2 linked regions of the Arabidopsis thaliana genome follow. The protein of the gene in region 2 interacts with the protein of the main gene of each other region in a biochemical or structural test. Each region holds a gene or a part of one and is shown on either strand. Other genes may lie near its edges.

What was found.
Region 1: the proteins of DREB1A (region 2) and ABF2 form a complex in vitro, tested with the Arabidopsis thaliana proteins (one study listed by BioGRID).

Annotation. Positions count from the first base shown.
Region 1 is NC_003070.9:17,164,339-17,169,471, reverse strand, and holds ABF2 (abscisic acid responsive elements-binding factor 2), read left to right. Parts: upstream 1-1,582; 5' UTR 1,583-1,699; intron 1,700-1,730; exon of another isoform or gene 1,731-1,990; 5' UTR 1,991-2,011; coding exon 2,012-3,130; coding exon of another isoform or gene 3,131-3,283; exon of another isoform or gene 3,284-3,402; coding exon of another isoform or gene 3,403-3,447; exon of another isoform or gene 3,448-3,689; coding exon 3,690-3,761; intron 3,762-3,841; coding exon 3,842-3,871; intron 3,872-3,977; coding exon 3,978-4,052; 3' UTR 4,053-4,314; downstream 4,315-5,133. UniProt on the Arabidopsis thaliana protein: Involved in ABA and stress responses and acts as a positive component of glucose signal transduction. Functions as a transcriptional activator in the ABA-inducible expression of rd29B.
Region 2 is NC_003075.7:13,017,394-13,021,516, forward strand, and holds DREB1A (dehydration response element B1A), read right to left. Parts: upstream 2,008-4,123; 5' UTR 1,611-2,007; coding exon 960-1,610; 3' UTR 617-959; downstream 1-616. UniProt on the Arabidopsis thaliana protein: Transcriptional activator that binds specifically to the DNA sequence 5'-[AG]CCGAC-3'. Binding to the C-repeat/DRE element mediates cold-inducible transcription. CBF/DREB1 factors play a key role in freezing tolerance and cold acclimation.

The sequences.
Region 1 (5,133 bases), on a different chromosome or scaffold from region 2:
TTCCAAGCAAATTCAAAACTTATTAAACTATATGCTAGAGTCAATGATGTACTTTAGCAGAAAAAAAAAAAACACTACTATAATTAGTGAATTGAGAGTATTATTGTCCTTGTATTTAATTTTTAAACGTAAAAAATAATAAGATGGGTTTGATAATGTGAAGGTGAGCCCAACTAAAAACTAGAGACGTGGACCAATGGAAAAAAAGTAAGAAGACTCTTTGGTTTCTGACATCTTCCCCCACAAAACACAAAGTCGATGTGAAAGCAAATAATAGTGTTCGTCCACGTTACATCGACAATCAACGGCTGAGATTTGGTTTCATTATGTGTCTGTCTCATCGAGGTTGGTTCGTGTTTTTGTTTTTGTTGGTTGTGACAGTAATGGAGCGACACGTTATTTCGTTACAACTACTTTTTTCTTTTTTAAAACTTTTGTAATCAGAGGACTAAAGAAGTAAGTGGACCGATCATAAATAACAAACTCAGGTGATTGATTATTGGACCTTTGTCACTTCAGGATGGAGAAGCGTTTTCAATTCACCGGTGAAATAAAATATTAGCTGATTTTTTTAAAAAGAATTAAGGTTTTGAATGGATATTGTGGATAAATCGGATTAAAATTTGGAATTATACCAATATTTTCTTTTTTAACGAACATTTTGATTGGTAAACTTTAATCCATTTTGATATGTAAACTTTCTGAGAAGTTTTAGGACTATACCCATATATAATACCAATTTTTTATGTAAGAACTATATGAATTATTTTGTATATAGAGTTTTTTTTTCTTTTTGTTTTGTATATACCACTACAAATTATAATTTTGTGAATGATAAATAAGAAGTTGTCTAATCTACAAACCCATTTTGTTCTCCAACCACCGCAACCATGTGTACCTAAACAAATAAATATTAATTGGTTAATTAGCACAATTGTTAGAGTGAAATTATTATCTCGAATCCGATATAAAGAATTTGTCACTATTCTTTCCAAAATTTCCGATATTCAAAGTGTTGAGATCAATAGTAAAAATTTGAATCCGTCCAAATTGATTTAAATACAATTTTAAAGTTTACATACCCAAAAATCATTTGGTTTCTCTCAAAATATTTAAATATTTAGATATTACTTGGAAATCTGGGTAGTAACAATTTGGATTTGTCCAAGCAACATTTGGATCTAGATATCATAATTTCCAAGTCAACATATCCAAATTCGCCAGATATAATATTAATATATATATATATATATGTAAAATACAATATTTTCATTTCTTTTCTAGTATATAATACTTTATTTTCATAAACATAATCCAATCTTAATTTTACAATTTTAAAGACGTTTTAACATTTTAATTTATTGTGTAGATACAATGATTTTTGGACGGAATTCCAAAGTGAAAACAACTTATTTTAGGAACCTAAAGTAAATTAAAACAACATAAATCCTGAAAAGGAAAACAATTAGTAAGTGAAATTAGTAAAATAAAAACGAAGAGGGAAAGTGACGCAAAATACAAAGATACAGAGTATATACCATTTTATTAAAATAATTAGCAAAAGTAGTATTTATTCAAGATTGTTAGGAGCCAGAGAGACACTTGGCTCACCAGACAAACTACCTAATCACCCAAACGAAGAACCAAACATTTTGAAATTTTTTGGGAAAATTACAAAGCACACGAATTTAGCAAAAAGGTAATAGATTTTTCTTCTCTTTGTGTGTATAGAAGAAACTGTGGTTTTTGTTCATCTTCTTTTAATTCTTTCGATTTATGTCCACACTTAATTTTTGGATAAAATTACTAATTGTGCCTAATACTTGTCATAAACGCATTCATATTCTCCTGTTGGTTTAATCTGTTTTTATCCATTTGACTATTAAAGTTTTGAAATCTGTTAGTGTTTTTGAATTGGGTTTTGCAGATTTCTTGATTTTTATTTATAGATTAGGGTTCTGATACTAAAGTTTGGATTTTTAAACTAAAGTTTGGATTTTTTTTTGTATTCATGGTTCAGATCCAGTTATTAGGTGGAAGCAGATTTTGTAGAAAAATGGATGGTAGTATGAATTTGGGGAATGAGCCACCAGGAGATGGTGGTGGAGGTGGAGGGTTGACTAGACAAGGTTCGATATACTCGTTGACGTTTGATGAGTTTCAGAGCAGTGTAGGGAAAGATTTTGGGTCAATGAACATGGATGAGTTGTTAAAGAATATATGGAGTGCTGAAGAAACACAAGCCATGGCTAGTGGTGTGGTTCCAGTTCTTGGTGGAGGTCAAGAGGGTTTGCAGCTGCAGAGGCAAGGCTCGTTGACTCTGCCTCGAACGCTTAGTCAGAAGACGGTTGATCAAGTTTGGAAAGATCTATCCAAAGTTGGAAGTAGTGGAGTAGGGGGAAGTAACTTGTCTCAGGTGGCTCAGGCTCAGAGTCAGAGTCAGAGTCAGAGGCAGCAAACATTAGGTGAAGTAACTTTGGAGGAGTTTTTGGTTCGTGCTGGTGTTGTGAGAGAGGAAGCTCAGGTTGCTGCAAGAGCTCAGATTGCTGAGAACAATAAAGGCGGTTACTTTGGTAATGATGCCAACACAGGTTTCTCTGTCGAGTTTCAGCAGCCTTCTCCACGAGTTGTTGCCGCTGGTGTAATGGGAAATCTTGGTGCAGAGACTGCAAATTCTTTGCAGGTTCAAGGTTCTAGTTTGCCTCTGAATGTGAATGGAGCTAGAACAACATACCAGCAATCGCAACAGCAACAGCCAATCATGCCTAAGCAGCCTGGTTTTGGTTATGGAACACAAATGGGTCAGCTTAATAGTCCTGGGATAAGAGGTGGTGGTCTTGTGGGACTTGGAGATCAGTCTTTAACGAACAATGTGGGCTTTGTCCAAGGTGCTTCTGCTGCAATTCCTGGAGCTTTAGGCGTTGGTGCTGTGTCGCCTGTTACGCCATTGTCATCAGAAGGGATAGGGAAGAGTAATGGTGATTCTTCATCACTCTCTCCGTCTCCTTACATGTTTAATGGTGGTGTGAGAGGTAGAAAGAGTGGCACTGTGGAGAAAGTTGTAGAGAGAAGGCAAAGGAGAATGATAAAGAACCGAGAATCAGCTGCAAGGTCCCGGGCCAGGAAACAGGTTAATCTCTTCATCACCATCTATCTATGTACTCTTGATTGTGTTATAAGCCAAAAGATATGTAAAGTAAATTGGTTAGCTTATCTTGTAGTTAAGTTCTTTAACCACAATGAAGCGTTGAATTCAAAGCGTAAAGTGTCTTGTGTGAAGTAGTGTAGTAAACAACTAAACAGAATTATTGGGACTTGAAATCAGTACTTGTGGCTGAATGAATCTCGCAAACAAATATGAACCTTCTGGTTTTGGTGTATATACATGTTGCCCATCCGCAGATATTCACGGCAGACCAAACAATATACTGGAATGTAATTTGCTAATGTCATGAGGTGGCTCAGAGTTTAAATGAGTAGTGAGGGTTCATCGTCAAAACCTGAGTAGTGGCGACATGGTTTTTCTTTTGGGGCAAGGTAATGGGTAATTGGTGCTCCCAAAAACCTGTTACATCTGACATGTACTATGACCAAACTGTTGAGTTCTACATTTGAGGGTCTAAATGTTTTGAATGGCACTCTAGTCTTTATCTCATAAGCTTCTCAGTCGTGCTTGTTTTGGTTCATAGGCTTACACCGTGGAGCTTGAAGCTGAAGTTGCAAAGTTAAAGGAAGAGAATGACGAGTTACAACGAAAGCAGGTAATCACAAAACCATGTCTCAGCATCACAGTTGCTCATACGTTACATTCATTTCTCATTGTACGCCTCATGTTTTACAGGCAAGGATCATGGAAATGCAAAAGAATCAGGTAATAATTCTTATGCCAATGCAACAACACTGGAATCTCTAAACTGCACATTTCATAGCTGAACTTGTAAACTTGGTTGTTTGTTTCCGTGCTATGTATAAAACAGGAGACGGAGATGAGGAATCTTCTGCAAGGAGGTCCAAAGAAAAAGCTGAGGAGGACAGAGTCGGGACCTTGGTGAATCAATCAATGCCATCATACTTAGTTTCTGTAGATAAATGACATCCCACTTAGGTGTTTTAGTTGAATTAGACTTAATAGAGAAGAGCTTTCATCGTTTATATTGTAAGCTCTCTCCATATATGTTATGTTTTTTACATACACAGGATCATCAGAATCTCTTTTGCTTTATTTAGACCAAGAATTTTGTGTGTGTTTCTCGTTGTTGTTTGTCGTTGTCGCTATTAAACCTCAAAATGTACTTTCTTGATCTTGGAGTTACCAATTTTGAAGAATTGAAGTGTTGTTTGGTTTCTCTGAGTGCCAAAACTATGACCTGTGCCAACACAGCATTCTAGCCTTCTAGGCAAGCGACTATAACCCAAACCGAACCGAACCTTGGTCATTTCGGACGGATGAGGTAACCGAGTCGGTTTGATGTGGTTCACTGAACCGACAGTTACACAAAGTAAACATTTGTACTGAAATTTATGTATGTATCAAAGTAAAATTCCTCTAAATTCGATAACCAAACCAAACGGGATTAATCATTTGCATGGAGAATAAATACATAACCGAACCAATTTAACCGATGACCGAATCGAACCAAAACCGACTTATTCGGTTTGATTTTTTAGTTACTAAAAATGAAAGTGTTCACTCTCATTCTCTCCCACTTCGTCGCTCAAATTCTCCCTAATTTCACCTGCAAAACCCTAGTTTTTCGTTGATTCGTTTCGTCTCCGGTGTAAAATCAAATACTATCTTTAGGTATTTCGTCTTACCCAACTCTATCTTTCCATGTTTTCCGAGGACAAAATAAAAGGTTAATTATTCATGACTAACGTCTGTAATGGGTTTTATTGTGATGTATGTTTGAAATTTGGAACATTTCGATATAGCATTGTGTTACTAATGCTTTTGAATTTGTTAGAAACGAGCAGTAAAATTGGTTTTTTCTTCATCTTTTTTTTCAAAAATTTGGACTTCTCTGTGGAAATTTCTGGGTTTTGTCAATGTTAGTGAACAAATTTCCTTATTTTATTGTCTTCTTCTTATAGTGTTTCAAGATTTTTTGTTTTTCTTTTTGTTGCATAGGTTTG
Region 2 (4,123 bases):
CTTATTTGTTTTGTTTTCCTTACAACATACAAATTAAAATCATAAATGTTCACCGTCCCTTCGCTACTTGTCTAATAATAATCTGGATTATCAGATTTGCCAGAACAACAAAAATAATAATAATTACGAAGTAAACAATTTTATTAATTCTAAAGTCCAAATTAAATTGATTGTGGTTGATCTATTAACCCCGCTTATATATATTTTTTTTGTTTTTTCGCTTATATATTTCTTAAACTCGACTCATATATTTTTTGAGAAAAAAATACTCCACCGAATAATAATACAGGAGCATAAAATTACTAAATAAAAACTGGTTTAAGCCAAGGATTAGACCGATATAGTAGCAAGTTATACATCACTTTCAAATTCCAATAATAGCTATAAAATATCTCAAATCTCAACAACAGCAATAAAATATCTTCACAACGAACGTTTCTCTCTCTCGCTACCTCTCGCTATCAATTGTCGTCTCACGGTATTGACATATTCGGAGAAATAATACGACAAGGAATGGTGCGCGAAAGAAAGTGGTTTAGGACCTTAAGGTACAGAAAACGACAAACAAGATATTAGTATAAAAAAAGAAAGTAAAACTTGAAAATGACATGACATTGGTTACAAGAGGAGCCACGTAGAGGGCCAATGAAGGGGAAGCTACGGACAGTGCTCTCTTGTGGGACCCATATTTCTGTTTATGGTGTACGGTCTATTATTGGAGGTTTTGCTGAATCGGTTGTTTCGGTTTTATACTCTAATTTAAACAACATTTTTTTGTTACTGCTCTAAAAATACTTGCATTTAAGAATAGCCCACACTTATACTGAAACTGAATCAATTTAATTTACACTCGTTTCTCAGTTTTACAAACATAATGAAGATTCCATTCTAAAAAAGGATCTAAAAATAATAATAAAATAAAAAGTATCGTACTAAAAATGGAAATAATAATCTGAGTTTTAATAACTCCATAACGATACGTCGTCATCATCGCCGTCGACTTCATGATTATGATTCCACTGTACGGACGGAAGCGGCAAAAGCATCCCTTCTGCCATATTAGCCAACAAACTCGGCATCTCAAACATCGCCTCATCGTGCATATAAAACGCATTTTCGCTCTGTTCCGCCGTGTAAATAGCCTCCACCAACGTCTCCTCCATGTCGAAGCCATGATCCGTCGTCGCATCACACATCTCATCCTGAAACGCCAACGCAGCTTCAGCCGCCGCCTTTTGGATGTCCTTAGCGCAAGTTGATTCCGGGATTCGGAGTCTCCAAGCCGAGTCAGCGAAATTGAGACAGGCTGATCGGCCACGAAGGGCTAAAGCGGCAACGTCGTGAGCTCGAGCTGCCATCTCAGCGGTTTGAAATGTTCCGAGCCAAATCCTTGTTTTCTTGTTTGGTTCTCTAACCTCACAAACCCACTTACCGGAGTTTCTCCGACGAACTCCTCTGTATATTGGGTGACGAGTCTCACGAAACTTCTTACGACCCGCCGGTTTCTTGGGGCAGCTGCTCGCAAGCGTCGGAATATAATCACCGCCTGAGGAAACCGAAGACTCGTAATCGGAGCCAAACATTTCAGAAAAAGCAGAAAATGAGTTCATTGATCAGAAGAGTACTCTGTTTCAAGAAACTGGATAAGGTAACTAAAAGATCTCTGTCTTTTTTGTTGGTATGGTTTGCTGAAATAATAGTTTCTCTCTCTTTCTGTTCTAGTTCAGGTGGATTTAATGTTTGTAGATAAATAAAAGTTGGAGTGAGAGCATGCTGTTTTATAATGGCGGAAGATATTTTAGAGGCAAAAGAAAAGGCGAAGACGGAGTTTGTGTCTCTGGTAATGCCACGTAAACTATACACAGCGAAGCAATTGTAAAATGAGTAGTTTAAGGATTCACTCATTAAGATCTGCCATGTGTCCAGAGAAGACTTTTTTTGACTTATTCACTCGTTATTATTATACCTTTATGAGTTTTATAAACTCTTTGCGTATGAATGTGTGGCTGTTAAGGATTTAGTGTACTAGGTGTAGGGTAACCGTTATTCATTATTATATTCCTGAATAAAGAAATTGTCGTTAATTGTTCACCCGTGTATTAGACATAAAGATTGTGAGAGGATATTTAAAGATGCTCTTCTTGTGTAATTTCTCCCATTCTTATAGCACATCCTTCTAGAATATGAATTGGGAGAGTAGATATTTGTGCAACAAAGTATAAAAAAGTATAGAACATAATAATAGTCGTCCGTATATAAGCACGTAAGTCACCAAGTAGTTTTGGCGGAAAAACTTTTGAATTTAATTTGGGTGAATGATCAAATGTAACATTTTAGTGCTTTTTACGGTTGAATTAATAAACAGTTTGAAAAGTTATGAAATATGGTATTTTGGAAAATTTAACTAGAAGGGTAACAACATATTGTAACTTTAGGAAAACCCTAAATAGACTGCTAATTAAAATTCTCAATCATCATTATACATATAAAATAAATAATCAAATATTATTGGTTTAGAGTTATAAAAAATTGTTAATCACAAAAATGATGATTGAGAATTTAACAAAAAGTTGTTTTTTTAATATGTATAAAAAATTTAGAATTTAGATCAATTAGAAGCATGCAGTTGTAATTGTAGATCGGATCGCGAAACGAGTCTGAAACCTAATTTTGATCACATAAAAGTAGTTAATTATATTTAATATTTTCTACCATCATGCATTAACAAATGGTGGGGTGTGTTAGATTTATGAGACAAAATAGTAAAAGGTTTGAGTATATGACAAAAAGAAAATGTAATAAAAGAACATATTACATTAAGTTGATCACAATCTCAACGCCCTCTCTCTCACTCGAAACTCTTTTCTCTCTTTTCTCTCCAGCCAGCGCACTTCCTTCTCACTCAAAGAAGTTTCTCTTCTTCATGTATTCTCTCATTTCCTTCAACCACCACGTCCTTAGTCATATGATTCTCTATTCTTTAGCTACCTCTTCCCCACCTTCCCTTGACGAAAATTCTTGCATAATTCATAATTAGAAGAATTTCCTCCCAAGGTACTCGTGCTAACCCTTTTGATCACATACTTTCTTTTGATCACATACGTATTTATTTGACCCATTTGAATGTTCTACATCCATCATGATTTTTTTTGTTTTACGGTATGCAATCTAAAATCATGTGTTCTCCATCCATTCGCTACTGATTTAATCATTATCTGAGTTTTTCAACAAAAAGAACACAATTTATAAACATAGACAACCATGATTAGTTTCGGAAGTCAAAATAAAAAGCATGTTAATCAATTGTCTTTTATCTCGTATCCCCAATTTTACTTCTCAAAGTACTAAAATAGTCTAAAAACAATCATACGTACGTAATAAGAAAATAATTTACTTCCTGCTGTGTTTAAACAAAACTTCTATGAGATGTAAAAAAAGAAAAAGAGTCTACGATGGATGATCAAGCGTAATTGCTTTGTTACGTCTAAAAGGTGTTTAACAAAACTATAGCGCAGAAAATAATCAGTTTAATTAACTAAACAAAAACATGTTAGTGGATTAAGCCAAGAATTAGTCCGATAGAACTATAAAATCTACAAAATATCTCAAATCTCAATAATACGTATATAATATCTCAATAATACCTATATAATATCTCAACTCCAATCAGAAAGCTAAATAAAATATCAGCATAAGTTATATTCGCTTCCAAAAAAAGTCTGCCTCGTTACCTACCTCTCACACTCAAGTCTCTCACGTTATTTGAGATATTTAGGAGAAGCAAGACGACAACGAGAAGAAAAAAGAGTGGGTATGGTCAAGAAAAAGACAAATTATGATTTTAGTGGAAAATAGAAAGTAAAGAGTGAAGTGACGCGACACGTGGTACGAGACTCCACAGCGAGCCACGTAAGGGGGGACAAAGAAGAGAAGGTATGGACAATGGTTTCCGCGGTCGAGCCACGCTTTCAGAATTCTGATTGGCACTGGGTTATCTTGTGGAACCCATCTGAAAGATATTTTTGGTTGTCGTACGGATTTGTTTATTTCGGGTTTGTTGAATTAGTTTGTTTCGGTTTTATACACTATTTTAGGAAACTTTTTTTTATATTCTTTATAGTGA